Linked DNA regions of Drosophila melanogaster. The protein of the gene in region 3 interacts with the protein of the main gene of each other region in a pairwise test. Each region holds a gene or a part of one and is shown on either strand. Other genes may lie near its edges.

What was found.
Region 1: the proteins of CG5172 (region 3) and Abcd3 interact in a two-hybrid assay, tested with the Drosophila melanogaster proteins (one large-scale study listed by BioGRID).
Region 2: the proteins of CG5172 (region 3) and mEFTu1 interact in a two-hybrid assay, tested with the Drosophila melanogaster proteins (one large-scale study listed by BioGRID).
Region 4: the proteins of CG5172 (region 3) and saturn interact in a two-hybrid assay, tested with the Drosophila melanogaster proteins (one large-scale study listed by BioGRID).

Annotation. Positions count from the first base shown.
Region 1 is NC_004354.4:19,746,986-19,755,363, reverse strand, and holds the start of Abcd3 (ATP binding cassette subfamily D member 3), read right to left. Parts: upstream 4,595-8,378; 5' UTR 4,227-4,594; exon of another isoform or gene 4,017-4,226; 5' UTR 3,931-4,016; coding exon 3,818-3,930; intron 494-3,817; exon of another isoform or gene 61-493; coding exon of another isoform or gene 20-60; intron 1-19. Other genes in the region: Alr (augmenter of liver regeneration), read right to left, coding at 5,513-5,675, 5,735-5,976, 6,056-6,451; parvin, read right to left, coding at 7,494-8,114, 8,282-8,378.
Region 2 is NT_033778.4:13,502,058-13,509,832, reverse strand, and holds mEFTu1 (mitochondrial translation elongation factor Tu 1), read right to left. Parts: upstream 2,277-7,775; 5' UTR 2,175-2,276; exon of another isoform or gene 2,119-2,174; 5' UTR 2,090-2,118; coding exon 620-2,089; 3' UTR 501-619; downstream 1-500. Other genes in the region: mip120 (Myb-interacting protein 120), read right to left, coding at 1-44, 106-136; mars, read right to left, coding at 3,975-5,233, 5,291-6,797.
Region 3 is NC_004354.4:17,217,501-17,224,451, forward strand, and holds CG5172 (uncharacterized protein), read left to right. Parts: upstream 1-3,941; 5' UTR 3,942-4,046; coding exon 4,047-4,272; intron 4,273-4,625; coding exon 4,626-4,709; intron 4,710-4,778; coding exon 4,779-4,987; 3' UTR 4,988-5,002; coding exon of another isoform or gene 5,003-5,046; 3' UTR 5,047-5,151; downstream 5,152-6,951. Other genes in the region: CG12998 (uncharacterized protein), read left to right, coding at 1,481-1,822; CG34327 (uncharacterized protein), read right to left, coding at 5,624-6,286.
Region 4 is NT_037436.4:14,200,231-14,207,107, reverse strand, and holds saturn (saturn), read right to left. Parts: upstream 3,786-6,877; 5' UTR 3,675-3,785; coding exon 3,456-3,674; intron 3,397-3,455; coding exon 2,899-3,396; 3' UTR 2,814-2,898; downstream 1-2,813.

The DNA.
Region 1 (8,378 bases), 2.5 Mb from region 3:
TATCTCAAACATTACTCACAAGCTATGGGCTTTCGTTATCACTTTTGCTTGAGCGTACATTAAAAAAAAAGCACATTTCCCCAAATTTGCTACATGAAATGCTTCCGAGATAATTTGTTTGAATTCTTTTCAGCTGCTAATCGTTGTGGGATCAAGGTCCGGATGAAAACCGGTGCCCAGAGCTGACCAGCTCAACACAAGCCACTGGGCCATTGGCTAACCGGCATTGGATCGCCAATCGGATCGGATCGGATCGGATCGGATCGTATCGTATCGAATCGGATGGAGTCCAAAATCGCCACCTGCCCAGGGTTCGAAGTCTATGGGATAATGTGGGTGATGAGATGTGAGGTGCTGGTGTTGCTGGTGCTGGTGCTGGTGCTGGTGCTGGTGCTACTGGTATGTTAGGCCAAACAAAGTACAAAGCTCGCGCCTTGGTTATCTGCAGGCTGGAAAAAGCGACGAGTCGTGATGACTTGGTTATTTCTTAAATATCGCTGCGCAGATCACTGAATTATTCATAGCGCTCTTGTATTTATTTCTATATATATATATATATATATATATATATATGTTTCCATCTATCTATCTTTCAATCCGTCTGTGTGTCTGGCTGTCTCTCGTGTGGTTTTCCTTTTTTGATTCGTAGTATATTAAACTTGTTTTCACCGCCTAGACGTGGAACATGTGTTTGGGTCCATAGGTCAACACCGGTGGCTCCCATTGCCATACCCATACCCATTCCCATTCCCATTCCCATTCCGAAATCGCCTGCCCCTGCGATTCATCCAAAGCTCTCTTTCGCTAATCGCCGGCGATCGCCTAATGGGGGGCACATTGAACCCGGGCGCGAGAAGATCGGTTGGCGTCTGACTCAGATAGAGACATTGCCGCGGATTGCAATCAAAGTTCAGTGGTTCTTGTGCCGCATAGCAGCCGCTATCGAGCTAGTTTGTCTGATAAACGCTGGCCAAAATCAGATAGCTCGACACAGCTCGGGCATACTCATCACCTGTTGCCTTGGCTGTTACCTGTAGACCTCAAGACCCGTAGTCAGTCTGCCGGCACTCACACGCTCACTCCACTCCGCTTGCGATGTCTCAGAAGTGAGAGCGAGTGAGCAAGTGAGCGAGCGAGTAAGTGAGTGAGTGAGTGAGTGAGTAAGTGAGTGAGCGGTAGGCAGGCAGGCAGACAGACAGACATACAGGCCTTGGCAACGTGGCATCCGCAACAGGTGCAAATGTCAGAGCTCGGCTGCGAATCTGCATTGAAATTACGATCTCATTTCACGCACCGTCCGAGTAAAGGCGAGAATTATACAAATTACACGATAAATGGCTGCCTTGCGGGGCAATCCGATTATCGAGGGCCAAGCGTTTCCCGGGCACAAGGTCTCTCCATCCATCCGACTCTTCCACTTCCCCATCCGAAAGTCTGGAGCGCGCACAGCCACACAAGCTATTGCGCAACAGCCGGCGGGACGGGCCGGGCGATACAGAATGTGTCTACCTGCGAAAAACAGAGCAAGTTGTACACAAATTAACACCTATACCCCATTACCCATTACCCATCTCGAAGGCAAAGAGCTGGGAATGGGAACGGGAATGCGAATGGAAATGGAAATGGAAAAATGAAACCAGAAGCCACTGGTCCTCTGCGCTTCTCTCCATCCAATGTTGTGGATGGCACGACGCAAGTCATTAAAAGGCACGGCTGTAATGTTTATGCTTTATACCCGGGTGTCATCATGTCATCCATGGAATGGGTGTGTGTGTGTGTGGGTATGGGTACGGACTTGGGTCCGGGTAAGGGGTACAATCGAGTGTTGTTGCAACACCAAAAGCAAACTGCCCACCGGTGGTTGCGTGTTCGATTGCAAGGCAGGCTGCTGGATGTCAAGTCAAAGTGTTTGGACCTTTGGACTAATGAGCTTGGGTGTGTTGTCCAATTGTCCAAACCCTTGATAGATTGCAAAGACATTATTGGCGGTGCTACGAGCTAGCATAACCGTACCATATCAGTTAACAATTCTAGGGCCTGTCCTTGATATGAGGCTATAAAAAAAACACCGATAAAAAAGCGCCTTGAAAGTTGTGCAAGAGGCGTTGCTACTCGGAAACTCGTTGACACATTCGAAAAGTCCCTTTTAAACTTTCAACGTTCTTAATCATTCAGCGATTAGCTCTTGGACTTGAAAGTGAATCATAGAATGAATGAAATTAAATGAAATTATATGAAATGAACCACAAAATTCAACCACTGATTCATATGAAAGCATAATCGAAGTGGAGCTCCACTTGCGAAGCCCATTTGGTTGGTTGGACTGTGGAGTGTCCAGTCACTGCATCCATTGAACCGACTGCACCATCCACTGTGCAAAATTCGAACAATGGAATGGTGCATAAATTTAGCGGCCATCCACAAGTGGCGGCTACCTCGCTCGCAAAAGTTGCATAAAAAAGTAAACAGCGCATTAAAATGCTCGATTTCGATCGCCTGCCAAAGTGCAGTGCACTTCAGAGAAGTTGCTGAAAGTGATGGCCACCGGTTGGGTATCCAACATCGGAGTGCTCGGCATACTCCGAGTACTCGGAGTAATGTTAGCAATTAACGAGTGGCACATGCAGCCACGGCAGATCCCCCACAATCCCATGCGGATGGCTGGCTGGCTGGCTGGCTGGCAATGCAATCACCCACCCACTCCACTTGTCCGCCGCAATCTGTCTAATTAATTGGCTCTGTCATGCAAATAGTCGATTGCGCCCGCTTTACCCGTTCAGTTTATTCAATAAGATGAAATCGACTGATAGCGGTCAATTGCGCGCCGAACCCCGCACACATCGAATATGACCAAATATTGAGCGCGTTAACAACAGCATAATCGGCACGAGTGGCGATAGTGGAATGGGGCATATAGATGAAGTGCTGTAGACTGGCGCGTTGCCGATTAGATTAGCGGCAAAGACCAAGTCCATTCAAACACCGAAACGTGGCCCTTAACCGGGGAATCAAGTCCGCATCGCAGGTGCTCGATGGGGAAATCCTTGAAGCGATACCGCAATGAAGCAGGCCGCCAAGAAGTGGCTATTCGGGTCATAATAGTCGAGGGCGCCGAGAAGGCTTTCCTAATCGAGTTTGCTGTTTGGCCGGAAATGTAGTGCCTATCTGAGTCTACCTTCTGCTAAGTACGCGGAATTCCTCCATTCCTCCCAGACAATATATACATTCAGACCTATCCTAGATATCAGTATATCTACATAATAGGGATAGACTGCAAACAGATCCAGCTACTTTGGTTCACATCTACTTAAATGAATCGATGATCTGTTGACTTTTTTTTTGTATTGGGACTGCACTTAAAAATATCTTTTTGAGAATCTTCAAAACGTAAGCTGGTGGTCGCCAAACTTATTATAAGATTATGGCAATGGGTAACACAATTGAAAAGAACAGTATTTGGAGCTGCAAACGAACTGTCCGGCCCACTGTGCGCGGCTGCTGGACGAATCAATTGAAACCGGACTACAATGAGGGGGAAGTGCATACAGTGTGGCAGAAACGGCCATCGGAAAACCAGTTTTTGCAGTCCGCCAGATGACCCACAATAGTGGCATCGCATCGTATGTCCCGCAAACAAATCTGTTTGTACATAAATACACAGCGATCCAAAACTCAAGTCAATATCACGGACACATCGATGGCCAAGACCGAGACCTTGTGCAATAAGATGTTCGTAGAATATTGCATATTGCACAGGCAACATAAATAACATGGTTGAGCCACAATTATCCGTAATTAAGATCAAGGGGGGGCTTACCGCTTCTTGTTGGACATCTTTCCGTAGGCAATTATCCAGAGGGCCGCCGTCATGCCCGCCACGCCGACGATGGCGCTCTGGTTGTTGGCCAATTTGCTTAGAGCCGGGGCCATTCTGCTATTGCGATGTGGCTACGGATCTCGTTTGGCTTCAAATTGGGCACCTTGTGAATTTTACAATTCGCAATTTCGCGTTCGCACTTCAGTGTTCGATTAACCGCACGTGGGGGGAGGGGGTTTGCACAAGGAAAAAATTAAAAAAAAAAAATTATAATAAATAGTAAGTATGAAAGGGGAACAGACACTATTGTTTATTGCACGGATTTCAATATTTTAATCGGCTGTTTGATGACGACACAACACACAGACATGCACACACACACAGATGGTGGATAGCAGGATGTAAACACCTGGTTGTCGAACAGCCCTGTCTTAGCTTCGTCCTCTCTCGCTCGCACCCTCTCTCTCTTTCAGGGCAACTGCTTCTTCTTCTTCCTGTACTACAACTGGTGGTGGTGATGGTGCTGCTGCTTCTTCCTCCGCTGCTAGTGGCGCTCCTTTTCTGGCCAAAGGGGGTGGGCAAAGTGATTGTCACACACGGCGGGCGCTTTTATTTATTCAATTTGAGCCAGGCGCATTTCTTTGTTTGGTAATTACACTCTACTCAGCTCGACCAAATCGAGAAATCTGACGAAGTGATACGTGCGACGCGCAAAAGCCAGCAGGCAACTAACTGTAGTGCGATGTGCGCTAGTGTTGGCTACCACGACAATGTGCGGGCAGCGGCGCTGCGGGGGCAGCTATTTCGCCGCCAAATCTGGCTATTTCTGAACGAAGAGCTATCGAACAAGTTATCACCGATAATTATGAATCGAAAATATCGTTCATCTAAATTTGAGGTATTAAATATTTTAAATTAGCCAAATTTAAATTTCCCCGCTTAAACTACCTAAACTATTGCTGAGCAATCATGTTATATAAGTAAATCATATAATGGCTTACTCTTACGAAAATTCCACTAATTTTTATATCTCTTATGTTAAGCATATTAAAATGTTAAATGAATAAAATGTTAATGTTTCGTTGATTGCAAAAAAAAATTAAGTTAAATATTAAAAAATATAACCAGAGCAGACAAATTTTAAGACCTTTAGTCCTTTAGGTATTATAGAAAGGAAATCTAAAAACTATATAAGTATCAGCCAAATCCCCTAATTTCGAACCAACTAAGCATTGTATTCCAACTCCGCTTTAGATCTTTCCACTCCCATCTTATCGAAGTGGAAAGCATTTGCCTTCCCCATTCTAATCTAATAAACGCCAGTCGGCAGATTAGAGATTGCGATATCTGCAGGGCCAGTGAGAAGGCATAATACGGGTCCTCAACATAATGTGTATATTCTAATGGAGTTCATAGCCAGCAAATCATTTAACAATGGACCTTCGATGTGTCGCTCTATTACAACATAACTCAATTTAATGTCACGCTGACGCAGGTTCCGACTGGTGGGCATGGCCTCTGGCCAGAAACAGGGCACAGTTTCGGGTTGGCGGCGGTACACCGCCGAGCAGGAGTCCCGTGTTCCGTGGTTGTAGTTGTGGGCCAGCCGAGCAAAATGTGGGACAAAGTCTGGTCAACATGGCAACCTGCAACGGGCGGGAGACGGGGCTTCTCGGCGCTGGTTAGCTGCGGCGCCTAGTCGCAGGAGCCGTCTAGCCAGCCGTCGCGCCACCTCTCGTTCACCTTGGTGCAATCGAAGAGCGGTTTGCCCAGTTTGTCGTTCACTCGGTTGTGGAACTTGCACAGCCACAGTGCTAGCTCCTTTTGGGAGTTCACATTGATGGGGTTGACGTCCAGGCTGCAACAGAGGTCCAGCTAAAGTGTCAGCGTTTTCAAATGGATTGAAGATGCACTTACTCGGTGCGAAAGTCCTTGGCGCAAAACTCGCAGGGGTAAAGGCGCGACAGAACCTCAAAAAAGGTCTTCATGTCGCGCTTCTCGGTGTCCGTGGGGTTGTCCGAGTAAAAGGCGGCCATGGTGTGGAGCAGTCCCCAGGTGGAAATTCCCAGCCTCACCTTGTCCAGCGGGCAGTCGTCGCGGGGCAGCGGATCTTCGGCGGCGTTGACGGTCAGCTTTTCGGCGGCGGCCATGTGCTTCACCTGGAGGAGTATGAAAGTGGGAGATTCTTGTGTTATCGTCCTGCTTGCGAAGGCGAAGTGGCCAACGCGATCACGTCACCTTGGCGCTCTGCACGTTGGAGATGAGGCGTTGCTGCTTGGACCACGACTTGAAATCGTTGCAGGTGCGGCAGTTCGAGTCCTGTTTGCCGGCGCCGCTGGCACCGGCCTTGCGGTTCGCTGCGAATGGGGACTCGTGGTGCTCCTTATCCATCTCGGGATTCGCCTCGGCAGACATGATGAAGTCCGGGTCACGGATCAGGCGGAGAACGGTGCGCTGCAGACGGCGAATTACCAGGCGAGTTGCTTCCCGGCTGAGTTCGATGTGCGTGGGGCTGATGTAGTCGTAGCCGTAGTTGTGGGACTGGCGGCGCAGCAGAAGCGTTGGTGTGGTGGGTAGTTCTAGAATCTTGAAACTTCGCTCGGCTATTGTGAAAATCATAAAAAGCATGCGCATGGTTGCCACCTTGTTTCGAAACGAAACACATAACATTAGGACATATCTGGCTAAGCGGCTTAGTTAAGCGGCTGCAATCAACGCAAGTTACTAAATACTGGCTTTTAGATTCATGGCCAACATCTGGCCAAGGACCAAAATCCGGTCAGCAAAGTAACATTTTCAAATTATACCGGCCAGCAATCGAAAATCGATGCGAAATCGTTCCCGAACGGGAAGCGATCTGGCAGCCTGCTCGCAGCTGTGATCGATACCAGACCGTTGCGAGTTGCGCGCGCAACCGCGACAATTCAAATAGCACAGCGTTCAGAAAATTACTAAGGTTTGTTTCTCAATCAATTCGAGACGCTCGAAAGAACTTACATGTGAATAGGATGGAAGCTGGCGTTTGTGAGTGCTGCAGCCCCAGATAAATTTTGCGCCTTGGAACTGTTTAAAATAGAATAACACATATGCTATTGGCAATATTTATTGATTTTTCTGATCCAAATTTTTAACGTACACAATAAAATTTTTTTTTAAGACTTTTCCGTAAACTTCTACATTTACAGCGTTAAAATCTGATCTGTGACATAATTTGCAAAAGCTCTGTGTGATCTAAAGGCACAATCTCGGTTATTGTGTTCAAATAATGTATTAATACAATAAATTCACTTAGTAACAACTACAACGTCTGGCACGTGAGTAAGACAAGTTAACAACTGGCCGCCGGATTTTGGGTTTGGGTTAGCTCTGCTCTGCTCTGCTCCTTCCTGTTCCGAGCAATCTGAATCTGGAGCAGATCGCAGTGGTTAGACGTACGACACATAAATATATATATATATATATAAACATTCCTTGGGCTGATTATACGCGACGCAGCATTTAGTTGTGGTTTTGAGAGTTAGGATCAGTAAGCTTTAACCGCTGCATCGCCTACAATCAGTTTCGAGAACGCACATAAATTAGGCGTGTAAACACTATCAAAAAGTTAATATAAAATGTAAAATTGGCGCCGCTTGTTGCTCCTGCAACCCGCTGGCTCGTTCCATCCGGGTTTCACTCAGGCGAAGTCCCTGAACATGGTGAACAGGCTGTATAGGACGCGCAGGGTGGACTTGAGGTCCATGTTCACGATGTCCTCCGGCCGCGCCTTTGGTTTGGGCAGGCCCACGTCCTGCATCAGGTCGAAGGCGAAGGCCACGTTGCTGACCATCTGATCCACGTCCTGCGGCGTCAAATGGAACTCGTGCAGCGGCACAAAGAATCCACCGAGCAGGCCCATCAGCAGGCACAGGTATACGCCGTCGCGAAAGTCCGTGTTCAGATCGCTGATCTCAAAGTTCAGCTTGGCCAGGTGCTTGTTCACGAACGTGATCAAGGACTTCTTCACCACGGCCAGCTTGTCCGGCGCACAGTCGATCAGCGTGTCGAAGGCGTCCTTTTCGCAGCGCATGCCCAGGTCGTCGTACTCGGACGTTATCTGCTCCTGGAACTTCTGCGCGTTCAGCACGCCCGCATTCTTCTCCGCAATCACGACGGTCACGAACACGTTCTCTGGCAGGCGAACGGGCGCCCGGAAGTGACGCACCAGTGCCACCAGCAGATGTAATATGGCCACAATGTTCTTCGAGTGCACGCTGGCCACCGACCACTTGGGAATCTTTTGGTGAAAGCCGAGTGTCTGTGGGTGTGGGCAAGGATAAAATTTATTCTTATATCGCGAGAAAAGGGAATGTTAATTGTAAATCGAATAAAAATTATTCTATTCGACTTTAAGAATGGATAAATAATTAAATGTTGGTAACTCCGATTTTTAAATCCTGCAAAACATAAACTACTACTACTTACATGGTTGACGGCCTTCAGGACGATGTTGAGCTTCTCGTGCTGGCCCTGCTCTGACTGGGTGACCTCAGGAACGTCCAGCTTCTTGCCGGTGAGCTTC
Region 2 (7,775 bases), on a different chromosome or scaffold from region 3:
TTCAAAACTCAGCTCCGGCAATGGTTCCGTGTCGTCTAGGGAATCTGCGGACAAAATAAGTTATTAATTACTTTGCAAACAAACGTTTACGGTGCTTGAATCTACCGGTCAAGTAGTCTACGCGGTAGGTACTCATTTTTGCCAATTTTCAAATCAATTTCAAAATGTTCTTTATCATCAGCTGCGTTCAAGGCGGTTGCAGCAGTGTTGTAAAATGTCGTAGTCAGGTTATTATCGGCCTTGTTTGATTTTATCGGCTCCATTTCGATACCACTCTATTTCGGATGCCGTTAACATAGAGCGATAAGCAATCGATGAGTGGCGCCTAAATTAAATATTGCCCTTTATCAATGATCAATGCTTACTTACATAACTTTATATAACAAATAGTCCTTTGAAATGCCGAAATGTCAGGCAACAACAGTAATACTTAAAAGCCGTACTATTTTAAATCAATTTTAAGATCCCTACTAATATTCCAAGTTTTAAAACTTCGTTGTCCATAGGTGTTTGTTTATATTTTACTCGATTGTGATTGGAGCGCCAACAACTTATACAATATGCATAAAAATCGCTTAAGAATATGATTTTAGTTAATGACTGACGGCGTTCCGGGGATCTACTTCTTAGCCGCCACCTTCTTCTCGCGCGCCTTCTTGCCCTCCGTCAACTCGGATCGCTGCGATTCAGTCAATGGGGGCAGAGTGCTGGTGACGACACCAGTGCCCAGGGTCAGGTTTCCGTCACGCAGCGTGAAGCGTTGTCCCTGCTCCAGGACCATTGGCCGGATGAGGCGCAGAATGAGCTTGGTGTCTTCGCCGGGCATGACCATCTCCTTATCGGGAATCTGCACCTGCACGGCACAGTCCCAGGTGCGGGAGAACATCTGCAGTTGGATGAAGGACATGAAGGGCTTTGTGCGACCGCCTTCATCCTTGGACAGGATGTACACCTGGGCCTCCAGCTGATCGAGTGCCTTCACACTGCCCGGCTTGCACATGACCATGCCGCGCTTGATGTCATCTCGCTTAACGCCGCGCACCAGAGCTCCCAGCTGATCACCGGCTTGCGCCTCCTCCAGAATCTGGTGGAACATCTCCACGCCCGTCACCGTCGACTTCAGCACCTTGTTATAGCCCACGAACTCGCACTCCATGCCCTTCTTGACCACTCCGCGCTCCAGGCGACCAGTGACGACGGTGCCGCGTCCGGGAATCGAATACACATTCTCAACAGGCAGCAGGAAGGGCTTGTCCAGCTCGCGCACAGGCGTGGGGATGAAGCTATCCACCTCCTGGAGCAGTTTCAGGATCGCCTCCTTGCCGATCTCGGGACTCTTGTCCTCGAGGGCGCACAGCGCCGAGCCCTTTACCACAGGGATCTTGTCACCATCATAGCCCATCTCGGTAAGCAGCTCTCGGATCTCCATCTCCACCAGGTCGACCATCTCCTCATCGGCGGCGTCCACCTTGTTGATGAACACCACGATGTGATCAATGCCGATCTGCTTGGCTAGCAGCATATGCTCGCGAGTTTGGGGCATGGCGCCATCGGTGGCGGCCACAACGAGAATGGCGCCATCCATCTGGGCTGTGCCGGTGATCATGTTCTTAATATAATCGGCATGTCCCGGACAATCTGTGTGGCCGTAGTGACGCGTCTCCGTCTGGTACTCCACGTGGGCTACATTGATGGTAATACCACGAGCCTTCTCCTCGGGCGCATTGTCGATTTCATTGTACTTCTTGCTCTCGGCCAGCTGCTTGTCGGCCAGGACCTTGGTAATGGCCGCCGTGAGCGTGGTCTTGCCGTGATCCACATGGCCAATGGTGCCCACATTGCAATGGGGCTTGGTTCGCTCGAACACCTTCTTCTCGTTGGCGTACTCGCGCAGGTACTGCTGCATGTTGCCGGTTCTGGGCGCAGCAAGTAGTCCGTTTCTCTGCCAATCCTTGCAGGCCGTGGAGGTGGCAGTGGCACCCGCCATACGCAGCATTCTGGCAGAGCTCATGGCGCGCCGGCTGCAGCGCAGGGCCAATGACATGGATGCGGTGGACCGGCAGACGGCGGCGGCAAATGCATGTGACATGGTTCTGGGCTTCCTATTGGCGCTTTTAACTAAATGTGTGGATTAGAATATGAGCTACGCGATGGATAGCTCCTGCTGCACTTACGAGTGAAGATTTAGCTATCCTGGCAGGGGGTAAAAAGCCTTTTCACAGGTCGAAGAAAATCTTACGGCTCGAAATTGCGTAAACCCTGAAATGTGCTGTGCGCCAGAGTTGCCACATGGTGGAGGTTGTCCGATAGGCCACCCACTTATCGATACGTTAAATTATTTAAAAAAAAAAAAATTTATAATGGTAAAATAATTATAAAACATTAACATTAATTAAAACAGGCTACTACTTTAAATATTTACTTTGAAATAGAGTAATATATTTGACTGCTACTTTTGCATAAGAACATTGAAAGGGGTGGCAGCCCCTTGTTGACGTTATTATTTTGTGCGCGTTTTTTTCCACCCATTAACCACCCATCTCAACAACTCGTCTAAACTCATAGGACACACCAATGCCAAATATAACTTGCTAATTAAATTTATGTGCTTGCCAATTCTCTAATTGCACGTTAGCATACTTTTTACAGTGTAAAAACATTTGCCCCCAAGACTGTACCCCACTAAAAACACCAACACAAGCATACAAATGCCCATGTGTGTAACAAGCTGTCTGGCAACGCAGCGCCATGGGATGTTCCCAGATCGTTAAAAGCACTTTTTCGTTTCGTCAGCAGAGTGCACAAACTTACGAAAAATCTAAATTCAGACCCATTGCCAGATATATGCACACCGCAATGCAATACGCACTCATAAGTTAGCTTGCCGGTGTTGTGGCAGGGGGGTAGACAAGCGAAGGGGGAGCCGCAAATCGAGGAGATCAATTTGCGCGCCAGCGAATGGCCCAACTGCCATGGCGAGTACACGCTGTACCAGAGGTTGAAAATTCAATTTGAAATACGAAATGACCAGATCCTTACCCAAATTTCCGCCACTCGTGTCCATGCTGGGTGTGTATTGTGTATGCTGTGCCGCTGTGGTTCGCGTATTGTGTGTTGGGCGCTGTTTTGAATGCAGTGCGCGGTGACTGCGGACAAAACAAAAAGAAAATCTGCACACTGGGAAATGTGAATGCGTTGAACTCAAAGGGCGTCGCGGGCGAACGAAACGGTCGCGAGGCGGTTAGTCACTGCGGTGAGATGCGCGTCGCGATATCACAGCTATGTGCACTTTCATTTGGCGGCCTTATCAACGAGTATTTACAATCGAGTGCAACAGCAAAATTCAAAATTCAATTTAAATTGCCGTCGAGTGGTCTTCCTTTACTTTTATGAATCAGGGTGAGACCGTGTCGCTACCGTTAAATTATACCGCCATACACACGCAGATATACTGAAATTTCCTTAGGAAATACTGGAAAATACTTCAAAATTATACGGAGCCATGAAGGTGAATGACTTGGGTAATATGTTAGCAAAGACTCATACCAAAACTAAATTCTTAAAATTTATTTAGACAACTTGAAAAATGCAAATATTTTAATATTAATTTTCTGGAACTCCAAAATTCAAGTTTTACTAGTTGAGTCGCGTAATCAAATTTCTGTGTTGTGATATTAAATTGTTAATTTTAAATTTCGATCCCCTTTCAATAAGAAAAGCATTTCAAATTTATTTATTCTTCTCTTTTTTATTCCTTTAACTATGTCTAAATTATAATCAAGGTAAGATAGATAATTAAAAATAAAATAAGCTTTCATTTTCACAGAACATACTCGTCGAACATTTAAAACGCCAAATGTAATTTTCAACATCTTAATAAATTAACACTTAATGGCATCCGCAAAAAAATATTAAACTAAGAAGATAAAAGTATAAACAATTCCACAACGGACAATTACTGTCAATAGACAAAACTACATAAACTCGGAGGAGGGACGCAGATTCACCCGCCGATTGCGCAGCGTGTACGTGCGAGGAGTTGCTTCATTCTCCTGATTGGAATCCCTTCCCGGATTCTGTTCCAGGGATCCGCTTTCCGTGGAGGCTTCCAGCGACATGTCCTCCTCGCAGTCCTCCAACTTGTCGGCGCCCACTGTCTCGTCGTTGCTAATGTTTCCCTCCTCGTAGGTGAACTGGAATCGTCGTACGCTCTTCTTGGCGCTGAAGAGCACGCCACGGTTCTGGCGTTTCGTGGTGCCGGGCGTCTTGAGGATGGAGGTGCGCGGCTTAGGCGGCGGCGTCTTGGCAGCGTTCTGCTCGGCGGCCGCAAGAATCGCTGATTTCAGGAGCGCATTTGGCGCAATCGACTGACGGCCCTCGCCGGTGGACATGCGGAGTACTGTGCGGGCGGGCGAAAAGGATCGGCGGTTGCGAACTACGATTACTCGCGGCGAACTGTGGCGCGAGGACGTGGCGGGCAGGCCATCCTCCAGCGTTGGCTCCTCCACCTTGGTCTTCTTCATGTTGGCATGGGCTTTGCGGAGGAACTGCTGCAGATTGCTGCTCGGCTTGGCCTTCGATTTGATCTTCATGTTGCGACTTATCTTGGGCTTGGGCTTCGGCTGTTTGGGTTCCTCGGCCACGGCATCCGGATCCAGCCAGTCGTTGGCCTTCCAACGTTTCAGGTTATCGAAACGCTTGTCCACGTTCTCGCTCTGCAGGCGCAGCATGTCCCACCAGCCCTCCAGATCCTCAGCCTGCACCGGTTTCGAATCCTCACTGCCATCGTTTGGCTGACTGTTCTTGCCGGTCGCTCCAGCCTCGCAACGATCGATCAGGCCGCTGAACTGCATCATCTTTTTTGTGGTCAGCAGACGTGTTTGACCGATGGTCACGTTGATCATGTCAATGCCGCCCGTTTCCTGCAGCCGTGCCTCATTCTCCTTGCTGTACGCCTCCCATTCAGCGCAAAGCGCTTGGAGGCGCGTGATCTCGTTTTCCAGCTGCAGTCGGAAGTACAGAACCGATTCAATGGCACGGCGAACTTCCAAGGGCGATTCCTCATTGGACAGGTAGAAGCTATTGCGTTTCTCCTTCTCACAGCGCGAGTTCACCTTTCCCCGCGAGACACTAACAAACGGACTGAGATAGTTGGGCATTCCATTGGATTCGCGACGTGGCGGTGTCTTTGTACCCTCTGGCACCAAAGTGGAATCTCCAGTGTCTTCTTTAACTGAAAGGAAAATGTGAGTTTGAGTTTAAGATTGGAGAAGGCGTATCCCAAACTCACCCGTCGTCTGCTGAGGATCCAAGATGAGCGAGTCCTCCGCCGGCGAATTCGCCACTGAGTAACGCGTAAAGTCGAACTTTTTCTTTGCCACCGGACCTGACGCCTCTTTCTTACCTTCCGGCAGCAACTGCCTTTTCACCGAACTTTCTCCTTCAGCTTTGACCGGTGCCACCGGGCTCAACAAGATGGTGTCGCCAAACGCCTCCAAAAGATGACCGCTGCTATTGTTCGACTTGCACTGCGTTGATGTGGCCTGGTCGATAAAGGGATTATGGATATCGTCTAGCGGCGTGAGAGGCGGTATATCTAGCGTGGCTGCGTGCAGCAACTCGGCTTTGAGCTGAGGAAGCTTTCGCACGTTGTCCTGAAGCCTCGTGTACTGGCTCTTTATCTTGGTGGCCTTCATTCGTATGGAGTGACTTGCTGCCTTGCTGGTCGCTCCAGCTGTGTCCTTGAACTTGGCCGCGGCACCACCTCCGCCACGTATAGGCTGTGGTTTCACGACATTCGCCCGTCGTGTCACTGGTGCCTTGTTTCCTAAAGGTTTCTCGAACGGCTTGGACAACACATTGGGCAGTCTAGCTGTCCGTGGCGCTGGCGGCTCAGGTAATCTTGGCTTTGTGCTGACCACTGGTGGCTGTTGTCGTATGCCTGGCGTTTTCGCTTTCGTGACTGTCGCTGGGGTGGGTCTGGGTATGGTGGTAGTGATCTTTTTCGCTTCAATCCCAGGCTGCCTTACACTGGTAGTTTGCTTCGTTGTGTTGGGAATGGGTCGTGCAGCTGCTTTTTGCCTGGCCAAGGCCACTGGATTGTTGTTCTGACGAATTGCAGGCACTATTTTTGTTGCAGAAGCAGCTGATTTATGCCTGGCCAAGGCGGAAGATGCAGCCACGGTATTGGATGACGGAGGAGCTGCTGCTGACGTTGGCTTGGGTATTGAAGGTTTAATCGGTTCTGCGGCTTTTCCCTTGCCCGTCGGATTGGCAATCATGTAGAGAGAACACCGCTTGGGAGGCTGGAACATGGGAGCCGCCTCCTTCTGCTTTGCAGAAGCCAGATTATCGGGAACCCGAAATGTTTGTGATTTGGGCAAGGCCTTTGATTGTTTTACTGTCGGCACATTGATGGCTGCGCCTCGACGTTTCTGGTCTTGCTGCTTATGCTCCTTGGTCTTGGCTATCTTCCACTCCATGTAGCGTTGTAAGTAGAGCTTCTGGCGGGAGACCTTCGGGTTGGATTCCTTCAGCAGTTCTGCGGGCTTCGTGTCCAGCCGCTCCGGACTCTCCAGTTTGGGTGCCACATTTTCCTGGGTCAGAGCAGCTTGGGCCGCCGCCAATTGCTTTATTTTGACGGGCGTCGGGCTCACGCTGATGATGCGGTTCTGATAAAAACAATCCTCTCGTTTTTTGGCGCGCGCCGCCTGCAACCGATCCCTGTTCTCCTGGCAGTGATTGCGCGGACTCAGCACCAGCGATTGCTCCTTGTACAGTTCCTTGTGGCGCTGCATGGCGACTGCTGTGACGGATGGGCGAGTCAAACTGAAGTGTCCGGTTGGGAATGAAACGTAATGCTGACTTTTCCGGCGAAGCGTCTCCTGTTTTGATTTTTAAAATGGCGAAGCGTCTTGCGGTGTGACCAGGTGAAGGAAAACTACGAAAGCCCTGCGGTATGCCTCTCCCACAGTGTTGTGTTCAGTATATTTTCTTGGAATAATAAAGCGACCCGGCCACGGTCACGCTGCTATGAAAATAAAAGTGAATTACAAATTTAGCAGTAGTAATATGTTAGCCAAACCGCTCCCGCGCCTAATTAGTGTCGCTTAAGCTTGCAGCCACCCTAGCCCTTTGAAATTGTAAGCCCGGCGGCCTCTTTGCACGTGCCAGAGACTCGAAAATAGTTAGCCGCAACTTACGCATATAGAAATATAAGCGCCGCGTGTGTGTGTGTGTGTGTGTTTATTGGGGTTACAAAAAATAAAACAAACAACAACGTCACCGCGGCAGCATTGCCAACAGCAAGCACCCACGCCCTAGATTGCCAAATGTTAATTGTGTTCTAAGCGACACATTTCATATTATTTAAGGCAAATTACTTCGCATAACAACAAGTAATAGCCAAACATCGTCTAATTGCTTTTGCGGTACCTGCTTTTCCCCGAAATTCCAAATCGCAAGCTGCTGGCAACGCTGCCACGCTCACGCACACACACCCACACAGTGGCCGCCGTGGAGAGAGCGGCTCGTGTCTGTGTTCATTCTCTGTTGCTGCTCCGCCTGGGAATGTCGTCGTCGTCGGTGTATTTTTAATCGCTTTCTTCCCTTGCCTTCGCACAAGATATATTATTATTAACCGAACTGAGAAAAGCGCACTGCCGAATATCCATGATTTATCGTTTATATAATGTGCGCTAACTAATCGCGGATTCGTCTCGTTTCGTTTTCATTTCCACAGCACTGAGTAGTGAGTGAGAGAGAAATTCAAAGAG
Region 3 (6,951 bases):
AACAGGGTTCATTTTAAAAGTGTTCACACATGTACTGTAATAATTGATTCCTATTTCGGCGCGTGGACAAGGTAATAATGTACGAACACATTATTGTCACAAATTACTAGGTAAATTATAATACTCCGTGGAAGAAAACCGAAAGATAAATAACTTGTGGAAAAGAGGCCGCGGTGTCGCCATTGCCCCAAGCTCATGATTGTTGACTGTTGACTGGAGTTGTTTTATTTTTTGTTGGCCATTATCCGAGTGGCGCCCAGGTACAGTGGGAAAATTGCACTGTCAGTGCAATTGGATGTCATCTGGTTTGTGTTTGTGTCCAGATGAGTTTTATAGCGATCTGAGGTCAGCCGCCTTAGTTGGTGAATGTTGTCGGGGAAGTGATGATTTCATCTCTCGCTAATATCGATGATACATGGAATTCTAGAGCACTTTAATGGCCTAGATGTCCTAGATGGAATTGCATATCTATAGCTGAAAAGTTAACTACCGACCTCAATGGCAGCCTATGATCTAGAAACTTGTTGTTTATAGCCCAAGTTATAATTTAAATACACATATCAACCATCACGTAGACATTGAATGTGGTTTTGTTCGGGGCTTTCCCTTGTCCTTCGGCTGACTGTCAGGATCAGGAAATGTCATCGCCAAAATCCAGTTATTTTTTTTTTTTTTGCCCCCTTCACTTGGGATCTGCATCTGCATCGGCATCTCCATCTCCATCTCCGTCTTCATAACTATCTGCAAGTGTCTCCGTTTGCGGCTTAAGCTGCCAGTTTGACAAATGACTCACCTGACGCCAACTTCTCGGTTTCAGCTTAAGCTTAAAGCTAGACTGCACAAAACACTGTTTAAAATACCGATAATTTAGAGATATTTCTCTAGAAGCCTTGCTAGGTTAGCTTTAAGAGCGTGATGACACTATAGTCTGGATGATATACATAACATTTATCAAATTTCACGCACACCTTTATTACTTTATATTCAACCCTTATTCCAAACGTCTAGTTATTTCTCGCAGTGCAGGCTCTGCTGCAGTTTCCGCCAGCAGCGAGGCGAGGAAATGATCCATCAAGCGTGTGAGTTATGTACGAATTTTGCAACTTTGCCACATGGTTGGCTGACTTGGCTTGATGGCTACCCAGTTGTGGCTTCTGCCTCTGCTTGTAAAGCAGACCCAGTTGACCCTGGTCAAGAATCGGACGCTCAAAGTGGTTTAATAAACTGCAATTACCCGACCTGGCCGGGCCGGGCCTGGCCTGGCCCAGCCACCCGCCACTGGAGATTTATTTTGTGGATTCTCGTCCAGATTAGTCTGGGCCACGCAGTTTGCAGTTCGCCAGTTATTTTTGCGATAAATAGCGAGTGGTGATCCAGTGGTTACAGCATTCGAGTGCCACACTTCGAGACGCACAGCAAAACAAACCAGGATCTACTCTCCGAGTCAGGACTAAAAGCTTAAAATCCCAAACCACACATAATGAAGGTATTCATTGTACTCTGCGCACTGGTGGCCTGTGTTTCGGCCGGATTGGTCCGATCCTCGGGCTGGGGATCGAATCCTTGGGGCGGCAGCAGCTCCGGATGGAATAGTGGCTGGGTTGCCCAGCAGCCGCAAGTCATCAAGGTCATAAAGATCGGAGGAGGCGGCGGCTCCGGATGGGGCGGAAACTCTGGATGGGGCGGTAACTCCGGATGGGGTAGCAACTCCGGATGGGGCGGCAACTCCGGATGGGGTGGAAACTCTGGTTGGAGCAGCGGCAACTCCGGATGGAACAGCAATGGATGGTCCAGTTCCAGCTCCAATAGTGGATGGTGGTAAAGAATCGAAGAGCTACCATCTCTAGGAGACGAAAAATCCAAGCACAATCCCAATCCCGATCCCCTCTCTCCGCACCTGGTTCACAATCCACCCGATTTTATAACATAGTTTTTAAGTACCATTTTTTTTTGTGTAACAAATAAATAAATGAATAAATCAAAGGCATAAAGTTAACATTTTTATGATGCATCATCTTTAAATTATGGATCGTTAGCAATTAACATTCTAAGCCTGGGAGCCGACTATATATCTGACTGAGCAGTTATTAATATTTTATGCATCGCGCAAATGATTGTGGAACAGCGTCTTGGTGGCCAAGGTGGTGATGCGATTGGAGTTCAGCGGAGATCATCATCATCATTTGGAGGTGGAGGCACTGTGGTTACACTTTTAGGTTTATGAAAATATAAATGTCAAGTATATTTGCGAATCGATTTATTATTAAAACGAAGCATAAAATTTAATTTTCGGGACTTAATTAAATGATTTATTTAATTCAGCTTTTGGTTATTTGACCTTTATAATATGAAATGAAAAAAATTATCGTTACATTCTAAAATCACTATAAAGTAAACTTTCTTAAGAAAGAAAATCAAGCATAGATAAAATTGTATTTTTTTATACATTAATCAAAGCCACAGAGAACTTCCCTTATTTCAACAACAAACGGTTTCATATAAAAATGAAGGCCGGATTTTATAATCTTTGACGGAACGACATGTTTTATATATATTTATATTTTTTAATGAAAATGTAAAATACCAGCTTGTTAGTGTCTTCTTATGAACCTTAATTATTGTAACGGAATATTTAAAAAATATAAGACAAGGATTGAAATTAATTGTAACTTTGTATAATATTTTGTCTATAATAATTCATTTTACTGGTTATTGGTATCAATTATATGCATTTGTAGCTTACTTTGCCAGTTTCCAACTTAAAATTGTACACTGTACAGACAATTTTCCTAAGCTCGGTGGTTTTGGCTCTGGGTTAAGCCCCCAACTAAACAAATGTTGTTTGCGCATATCTGCAGCACGCGTTGGGAGCCAAGAAAAGCAATATGTTCACATTCACGGTGGAGTTGATGAAATTTATGGTAAGTAATGCACTTGAGCGATGCAGCCAGCCATGTTTGCACGCCAATTGACATTGAACCAGTGTCTGCGGAGTCGTGTCTCCTCCATTTGGCGATTCAATTGCGGCTGCTGTATAAATGAAGATTAATCGCCGCATACATTGCATGGCTGTAGTGAGAAACGAAGCCGAAATTAAACATAAGTACGAAATGAAAATTATATTAACATTTTTCCTTTTTAACAGCACCGTTTTAATGCTCTGCGAAAATTCAAATTGGTCGATTTAAATATCCATAAAAATGTTTGAAGTAGTAAACAATATGATTAAATATTCAAATAAGTAACGTCTTAAATTACCGACAAGCTATAAACAATATATCGTGTATTGAAGGTTTAAGCTCTATTTATGCAAAAACCTATTAAAATATGTTTGCATTGAATAAACAAATAAAATACGGGAGTAAGCCTAGTATACATTAAATACATTCGTAAGAATAGTTAATATATACCAACGATTCCCAACGATTCTCTACAGCGTCGGTAAATTTGTTCCATTAATTCCAAACTTTACTTAAACCTGCCAAGCGGCAAGACTGAAAATAATAATTAAGAAAATTCAACAACAAATTGAATGGATGGCGCAAAATGAAAAAGGCAAATATTCTTAGAATTTCGCATAGAAATAGTAAACTTGTAAGACAAATTGCTAGGCGTTTCGTGGCCAAATGTGCTATGTGCGCTGGCAATTAATGATGCAGCCATGGCTCAGCAGTTTGCAAGTGGTGCGGTGGCGTATACGCGATGTTCCCAGACAGCGCACATTGCGTATCCGCCGAGTGCGCCGACGTACTTGAGACTTTTTTAAACCAGACAAGTTGCTGGTGAAGCCAGCCGCTTGCCGCATTGTGCCGACATGAAGTGCAGTTCTTAACCTTCCTTTGGGAGCTCCAGCTTGGAGTTGAAGGGATGGCAGGCTGCTGACTCAGCCGAAGTTTCCGCCTTTCGGAGCTATAAAAAGGTGCCTCGATTCTGGGTTAGTTCATCAGTAATATTGAGCCTCCAGCAGTGATTACACAGCGGTTCTAAGTCGGTCTAACAATCTTTTTTTTTACTATATTTTTTTGAGTGACTAAAGAGTTCTAAGGATGCGTCACGCTGTGATCCTTGTTTTCGTGTGTTGCCTGCTGATCGCCTTAACCTCAGCCGGTTTGCTGGGCGGTGGAGGCGGTGGTGGTGGCTACGGCGGTGGTGGTGGTGGTGGCTACGGCGGTGGTGGTGGTGGTCAGAGCGGCTACGGCGGCGGTGGCCAAAAGAACGGAGGAGGCGGCCATGGAGGTGGCGGCCAGGGAAGCTACGGAGGCGGTAGCCAAGGCAAGTGAATATATTTGGGATATGCCTATAGTTAATACTAACTATAATCCGATATTACTTCTATGCCTAATTTGATTTAATAACTTAATAATGAAATGGATTTTGTTATAATATACTTTATTGGTTCTAAAAAACTCATTTTACAAAAACGTTTTATGGTATGTAAATAGTTAAAATGCTTTCAGCATACAAATGTTTGGTCAAAACATTTAGAAAATATGTACATAATAAATATTTGAGTAATTTATAACCTCATTTAAAAAATTGTCAGCTAATATTTAAAATGTATAATTTACCGATGTTAGGGTTAAGGCTTACGATATCTGTAATATTTATATACACTTGCCTTCTAGGTGGACATGGAGGCGGTGGCCAAGGAGGTTGGCAGAAGAACGGAGGAGGTGGTGGACAAGGAGGCTATGGAGGTGGCAATCAAGGTAAATATTAAGTTCAATTAGTTTAATCCAAGATTACAATGCTTTTCTTAACCTGTATATTCATTTCAGGTGGCCACGGAGGACAAGGAGGTTATGGCGGCGGCGGTCATGGAGGCGGTGGCCATGCAAGCAAGTCCTTGGCCGGCAATCGCGGTAGTTCCGTGTCCTGGCAGGGCGGAAATGGAGGCAACAAGAACGGAGGCGGCGGAGGAGGTGGTGGTGGCCTGTACGGTGGTGGTGGCGGTGGAGGTGGCAAACAACATGGCGGTGGCTGGTAATCAAACCACCAGGAGCAGCTAATCCACCGTCTGATGCTGACTTGTGTTCCATGGCATAGAGATAGAGACAATCCCTAGATTCTTCTATTTTTCTTCTATCGAAAGCCCAATTTTTCCTGCTTTTAATGTTTTTTATACTAATAAATCTTGTTTATGCATTTTGTAATTATATTTGTTTTTCTATGGGGCACATTACATTATCTACTACATTATCGGGGAAGTAAAATTATATGAAAAATTATAATCTGTTGCAAAAATTGTATCATTTTCACCAAAGAAATAAAAATAGTTAATTTAGATGCAAAAATTAAAAAAGTTGGCGGCAATGGCAAATAATATACGCCCAAAATATATTTACTATACATACTAGCTCTTTACATTTTCAAACAAAAATTTTCCCTTAATTTTCTTGATTCATTTTTTAAATTATAAATAATTGAATAAACTCACCCATAAAAATAAAAACGTGGGATAAAATTACTTTCTTGTAAGATTTATTCACATAGTTAGATACACAAAAAAAAAAAATGGTTAATTTAAGGGCAGAATTATTATGTACAGGTTGAGCAGTGGATAGTGGTGTCGCCTCGTCGCCGATTTTTCTCGGATGGATGCCGTTTTCTTTCCAGGATCTGATTACCAGCTCCAGCCGCTGCCTCCGCCTCCTCCGGGGGACCAACCACCGCCACCTCCACCAGAGGACCAACCGCTGCTAATCTTGCTGGGCCAAGCGGAGGACCCTCCGGAGGACCAACCACCAGATCCACCGCCGCTCTTCCAGCCGCCGCCTGAGGAACCACCAGATGACCAGCCACCTCCACCGCCGCCGCTTTTCCAACCGCTGCTTAAGCTTCCCAAAGCTTGGGATTTCCAACTGGAGAGACTGGACAGTGCACTGGATAATCCCGAGCTGCCTCCTGACTTCCAGCCAGAGCTGCCGGAACTTGGCCAGCCGGAGGATCCACCGGAGGACCAGCCACCTGAGCCGCCGCCGCTCTTCCAGCCACTTGAGCCGCCGCCGCTCTTCCAGCCACCTCCTGATCCACCAGATGACCAGCCGCCTCCGCCGTCACCACCGCTCTTCCATCCTCCAGATCCGCCACCTGAGGACCAACCTCCTCCGCCGCTGGAAGGCCAAGCACTGATAATGACCTTACTGCCACCTGATCCTCCAGAGGACCAGCCTCCACCACCGCCGCCACTGCTCCAGCCATGTGGTTTGCCCTGGGCGACTATGCAGCCCAGCACCACCAGCAGACCGAGAAGGCCAAGTCGTCGCGTTGTAATCGTGGTTTGCATCTCCGCAGCTGCCGTGCACTAACTAATGCCCCACTGCAGCCACTCTCGACTATTTATACCCATCCAAGATTCTGAGCCACAGCTTCGCCACAGCCGCTGCCTCGTATAATCAGATGTAATTGCCAAAACTGCCAGCGACCAGCTTACAATGGCCAGTGCTTGGGCGCTTCGGGGTGGCTCCGAGTGGTTCAAAGTGGGCCAGAGTGGCTCGGGTGGTGGCTCAACTCACCTCAGTACTCGGGCCTCATTATGCCGGCATCAACTTTCGGTTTCGTACGCTTTGTGGGCCCACGTAGGTCGGCTGTTTTGTGCCCAGCAAACGCCCCCAGATGGAGCACCTGATTTACTTTACTATATAGATGACACTCTGTAACAATGGATTCATTACCTCAGGATAATGGATACGATCAGCTCATGAAAACAGTGGGAAAATGTCAGGTGTTATGAATGCAAATTGAAGAGCTGTGTGGGCATTTAGGTGAAGCTCACTTAAATATATATTAAAAAAAAACGGGTTGTTTAAAATTACAAAAGGACTTTTTTAAGCAAGTCTTTATAATAAGGTAAATATATTTTATTCAATTATTCAAAAATTATACTTATTAAAATCATTTTATAAATTTCAGCCCAAGGCATACTTTTATTTTGCAGTCTAGTGTAGCCCA
Region 4 (6,877 bases), on a different chromosome or scaffold from region 3:
CACTTCACTTTTCATTACGAGTCTTCTCAAGCCGAACATCCAAGCCAAGCCGCAATTTTTGCACTCGATGAGCGGATGAGATGGTTAATATTTAGCCAACACGCTGCTGGAAATCGCTCTGATAACGTCGTTAAACGCTCTCTGCCAGCGAAATCGAAAACGAACACAAACTCAAAAATCGAAAAGAAAGAAAATTGCAGCCAAACTGCACTCTCGACTGCACTGACCAACTAACAATGAAATCGTACAGCCGCGAACGGGCAGCATTTATATGGCTGCTCTTCGGATAATTAAGGCGATATAAAACTGATTCGATTTTGATTGATGACTCTCGACAATGCGAGTGTAGAAAAGGGATGAAACGCTATAGAGCCCAGTTGAAGATGATGCGATGAGTGTGGCAATAGATGGAAACGAAAGCACTTTAAAAAGTCGATTACTCTTTTAGATCTAAACGCAATCTAGAGATTCGGTTGATTGGCCATGTCGTTACTGCTTATAAAAGGTGTTGAAATAAGTGTGTAATGTTAAAGGAAATGATTAAAACATATACTTTATTAGAAAGCTAAAGTTCAAATTACTTTAAAATGTTATTTATTTTGTAAAAGAATACGCAGCTTTAAACATTAACTTGTGTATGCAATATTTTAATAACTTTCTCACAATTTAAAATTCAAATGATCCAACATAACTAACACCAGTTCTGAGTTGTTTATCAATATTTTAGTATGCTTTAGGAATTATCAAACACGCTCTTGGAGGTTTTTTATTCTTTTTTCGTGGAAAACTTTGTGGTTAACAAATAATTGGATTTTCAATAAGAACTGTTTTGGTAGTACACTCAAAATAAGATAAAAATCGTTATTTTAATTCATGTAATAGTTTATTTATAAAGCACTTTCAGAAATGAATGAAAGTCTATTCGAATTGGAATACCACCTGTGTATCAAACCCTACACTTTAATACATTCTGAACAACCTCTTTTTTTACCCGTCTGTGTACAAATGGGCCTTAATCTGGATGAATGCATGGGAAAAGTGCAGCACAAAAGGGCGTGGGCCCGTGGAAACCCCGGGAAAAGTCACGTGCAAAAGACGAGACACACATGTCGAAGAAGATGGAGATGAGGACAACGCACGAGAAGACGGCGAAGACCCTCCGATTTTGCATGGGAATGTGCAGTATATAGCCAAAGACTGCGCTTGTTATTGTGGCTATTATGATGGTAGTTGGACGTCATTAAGGCGTGACGCCGTAAATTACCAAAGTGTAAACTACAGCACAAAACTATGTACGAAATCTCATAAAAGCGCGCAGCTCGAATTAAAAACGTTTTCTATTCCGTGGAAAGCGAAATTTATAGCCAAAAACAAAACCGACAAAAAAAAACACAATTAAATCTATTTGCACAAACGTTTCGCATACGCCGCGTTGTCTGGTGCGCCCAAAAATCATATGTATGCTATATACACATTTGTATATAAACAAATGCCACACACACACACACACACTTTCACATACTTTGGTTTTCTCAATGGATGCGGCGGAATTTTGTATGATTTTTATTCGGTTTTACACCGGAACACAAGTCACAGACTCTCGGGCGATTAATAAATAATCAAATCAGGCCAAAAAAGGACGACACAAATTTCCTGACATCCGCACGCGGTTACAGCGATGTTCGAACTAAAACCGAATACCACATTCCGACTTTTGAGCCGCCTGCTCCAATCTAAAGGCGACCAGCAAACAGGTTCGATGCGAGAGAGCCAACTAGCCAAATAATAAACAAAACGGAAAAGCAGGCCAAAAGAGCGAACAAGTGTGTGTGGGAGAGGGCTAAAACCATTGTTGCAGTTCGAACTTGCCAGACAGACTAAAATAATTACACAGCGAGTGTGAACTTACAAATGTCAATCATTTGTGACATAAAAAAATATAATTATAATGAAAATGGAGAAATATATTTGCTTATTCCTAAGAGAAAATGGTAGAATATTTATAATTTATATATTTAATAACATAATTTCTAATTCTAATCATCTTCATTCAAATTCCTCTTCTTTCAGCATTCAATAATACGATTTCACATATATCAATAAATATATTCTTTTCTTAAAATAATATACTAAAAAATAATATTTTAAGATAACATTTCAATACTGTTAAATATTTAATTTACTATTCTTTGTTGCCACCTAAGTCAACATTTATAGTCTCATTAGTAATGTTGAAAGGTCTTTGATGATGGTACTGTTTTTCTTTTTTATCTGGCAACTCTTTTACAATCCCATACACTTTCCCATGCAACTTGTTTGCTGCCAACATGTTGTTCGGCGATACTAAAAACTAAAACTATGCAACATCTACAAATCTGGCCAACAATAAACATTCTCATGTACCTATTAGATAGATGGCAATTACCTAAAACCGAAGCCAAATTGGCGACAGACGTACTTTCAAGCCGTTTTCAGCTGCCAAATAATTCAAATACATGCAGGGGGAAAAAAACGGGAAATTGTCGCCAGGTCTGCCAAATAGCCAAGAAATGCAAGCCAACTGCCAAACAATGTTGGGCCCCCGCAAAGTGGCTTGGAAACTGCCTCGATTAGGCAGCCGGCCACCTTTAAGGCTAATTGAGGGCCAACCACGTAGACTTGGGAACTATGCACGGGAAAACAGAGATACACAATGAAATAGGTGAAAATTACCACGAAAGACAATTGGAAATCACTTAAAGCCAAAACGCTTGCGAAGGCAAGATGTCAAGGTTGGCATAGGGCTATAATGAATTACGATCACAACAAGTTTTATACAAATCACTATGAATGGTTTATTACAAATTCGAGCACTACAATTTTAATGAAATTTCAATATGAAAATTCCTGAAAATAGATCTAGAGCTTCCATCCCGTTTTCGTGTTTGAAGGAGATGACCGTTTACGCATATTTCTATTTTCCACGGATACATTATTTTCAGCTATAATCTTCGTGGGTTTCGCTATATTAATGTGCTTGGTCTCATCTTTGGCTGGTTTTCCCTGATCTGTTAGAGCAAATCGCACCCTATTTTTTACTACGGAATCTTCTCGAGGTTCGGCGTCTGGAATCACAGGCTCCGGTTTATTTTCTTCTCGTACTAGCGCTTTAGTTTCACTAATTTTGTCGAATTCTGGGGGGAAAGGATCAAAGATTTCTTTAAATTCTGAAAGTTTGTCATCATTTGCGTTGGACTCTGGTTCATCCAAGTAATTAATATTACTCCTAATATCATCAGAAATCGCTAGCGGCGGCTTGGGTATTACGGTCGAATTTAGGGCTTCTTGCAGCATGGCCATATCCTTGGTTACAAACTTAACACGTTTTCTCAGTGACTCAATCTCCGACATAGGCACCTAGAACAAAACCCTATTAAGCCCCTTCTACTGTACGTTTTCCCCCCCCTTTAACTTACATCGTTCCATTTGTGTTTGAATCTTTTAAATACAAGTAAGAGGAGTACGATAAGGACAATCGTAAGAATCACCAGGTAAGTTGGTGATCTTTCCAATACCAGAAGTTTCAACAAATCAATGCCTTTAAGAGTAAACCAACAAGCCGATGGCCAAGAATTGCAATACGGCGATATCTTTACCGATGTTTCCAAATCAACTTTCTGACGATAGTTCCACATTTTGGGCCTGACTTTTTGTTAGTTTCTATCTGTAATTTAGGTTGTATTAAAACGGATAACCAACCGGTGATGTTATCACTTTTATAATGTGATTTGAAAAGTATTTTCTTTGCTTGCTAGACTGAATTCAAATGACAACATTTAAAATGTTCCTATGTGGAAAAATATTCGTTCTTTTAAAGAAAATAATTGTAGAATTCCACTCATTCCCTTTCCTTTTTCAGATAAAAATCTTTAACCTCTTCCCACAATTTTCCCTAATTGTTCTCGGTTCTTTAATGCATTTTCCCCCACCATTTCCCAGTGCAGCTTTTTTGAATGCCAAGTGCAGAGAGTGGGAAAAACATGTTCCCAGCAGCGGAGCAAAAACAAAGGCATTTGCATGACAAATTCAAGTCGGCCCAAGTTGTAGTTGCTTCGAAAAGAGTAGAAGCCATGGGAAGAACATCAAGGTCCGGAAAGTTGACAGAGCAACCACAATTTATAGCCTGCGTGGGGTTAACTGATTTGCACACGCCTTAAATGCAGACGATTTTAATTACTTTATCCGATTTCGTGCATAATTTTCGAAGAAATGTTTATGAAAAAAATTTGTTTAATAATTGAAATGCTAATCGATATTGATCGATGCTCTAGTAATGATCTAACTATTACAGCCTTAGTTTAATGATCAAAATGATCAAAAGTATATAACAGTACATAACGATACGAGATAAATGTGTCAGAATCGATAACATCAGCAGACTGAGTTTTATTTTGGGTCAAATTTTGTTCGCGACTTGACAAAAGTGCCGGCCTAAATTCTGAAGAGTTAACAATTGCGGCAAGTTAAACCTGTTTCTGGAACCCTCTCACTTCACTTCCTCCGATCGGATGAGCGAAAAAATAAATTCCAACAGCATGACAACCCCATCGAGTCAGCCAACTTGTAAGCCACATCAAGAGGGAAGGAGTTGGCTAAATTGAGGGGAGACAAGAAAAGACCCGCATCTTCTACCTTCAACCTTTTCGCTCGGTCCCCGAGAAAAGTTCACAAAAGCGGCCAAACTACTTTTGGCTCAAGAAGATGGCAGCAGGAAGCACGGTCGCCAGTTGACAAGCAGAACTGCCAAAGGAAGTTATATAAATTGCAGCAGATTCCATCTTGGAGCTCTCTCATTGTACTAACATAAATCTCATGCTGTTAATCTGATATATTTATTTTACTTTCGTTTTGGTTTCAGTTGCAATTAAGTCCCAGAAAAGAGAGCAATTTTTTTTTCGGTTGTAACTTTTATGACAGCCTCCCCCGCCGGCAATAATCATAAATTTTAGTTTTTGGGGGTGGCAGCGTTAGGAAAGCTCTTGAAAATTGCCCAATTGAACATCTATGTAGTTGTACAACAATTGAAACAGGCGAATAAGATGGGAAAAACTGATAACTAATTTAGGCAGAAGAAAAACAAGCAATTGAGCAAACCAGCTAATGGAAAATTGGGAAAAAAACCAAAGGCAACTTATAGCTGAAATTAACAATCTTAGATAAGCGAAGTCATGGAAACGCTTGTGAAAACATCAAATGTGATGAGGACAAATACTGAATTAAAAACTATATATATATATTTTTTAAGGAGCAGTGCACCAATAATTTTTTTAATTAAGATAAATTATAAATATTTTTATTTACAAATCAAAAAACCAAAACCAAAATGGAGCAAGAATGGGGGTTATGATTTATATGAAGCTCTACATGAAACCCCGAAAGAAATTATATTCAAGGGTGCTTACTGTCTCATGGATCCCCAACGACGCTGGGATAAACTATCAGGATTGCTGTAAGAAAAATTTTTATCAATTGGGATATCTAATAATAGTCTTATTCGGTTCAGTTTTAACCGCAATAGAAACATAGCAATATAGCAATCTTTCTAATCATCTTATTTTCTTTTATATAAGTTCATATATAGAATGAAATTTACGCCTAATTTTCCAAATATTTATATAGGCAGTTATTTAGAATTATTTAAAATTGCCAATATAATTATATAAAATTGTTATTTAAATAAATGATTTATTCTAGCTATAACTAGGTAACACTCATCACTGTATAATTTAAGAGAATTGTTGCACTCTCTTACGATCAGTTGAACTGTGAATTCACCACGGCTATGGCAACTTGTTGAACAAAGGCGGAAATAGAGTAAAAGAGACGGCGGAACACGACCAGAAAGAGAGGCACGATCGCTGAGTTGTGAGAGATTCCGAGACCCGAAGACAGAGACACGCATGAATCACGGCCCAAAGCGATTCATGAGCCCAAGTCAGAGCATAGAAAAAACTGGTTTCAGTCTGTGTATGCATTTTTCATGCCACACATACATGCGTTGAAACCAACAGACACAGGTTTACACAAAGAAAAGGTTAACTATTCAAATACGCTTTTTTTATGCTGCCTCGGACAGACAAATTGAGAGTTTTGAATTGATGAAGTCTCTGGGCCTGGTCAGCTTTATTTTATATTCACGGCTATTACGTATTCAGCTGGATTATGTGCGCAACCTTATAAATGCCCGACAACTAAGCAAATTCGCATTCGCTTCGATTGCCATTTTAAGAGATGTGATCCGATCAAAATGGGCGAGATTACCTGGTGGGAGTTCGTCGCAGACTGCGCCTGGCCCAATTATCCCGGGGCATTATGTTTAGTTCGTCATCACTGCAACAATCGAAATCGAGTTAGTAAATGCTCATCAGTTGTGACAATGGAAATACACAAGGCGTTTCAGTGTCAGTTAGTTTAAAAGATTAATTGACAGTAATCAAGAGGTAATTCCGCAAGACTAATGTTCTTTGCTTTACAGGAGTTACATATTTATATGCAATAAATTCATTAACAGTTTATAGAACAACTGTGTTCATATACATAAGTATATATTTTGAATTTATCGCAATGTTAAATGGATATGACACTTTTGAAACGCACTATATAAATGTTTCAAAAACTTACTCTTGAGGTGTTGATGAGCCGACGTGTGGAGCCAAATCGAGTTCGACGCCAGTGCTGCCATTTAGGTTGTTATTTCCATCGTTCGAGTGTCCACTGTGGTTGTGTCCACTGTTGTTGCCCACGCTGATATTAGAATTATTGTTAATATGATTGCTCATATTATGGCTCCCATTGGAATTGGAGCTGCGGGCTTCGCGAAGTTGGGTGGGATACTCAT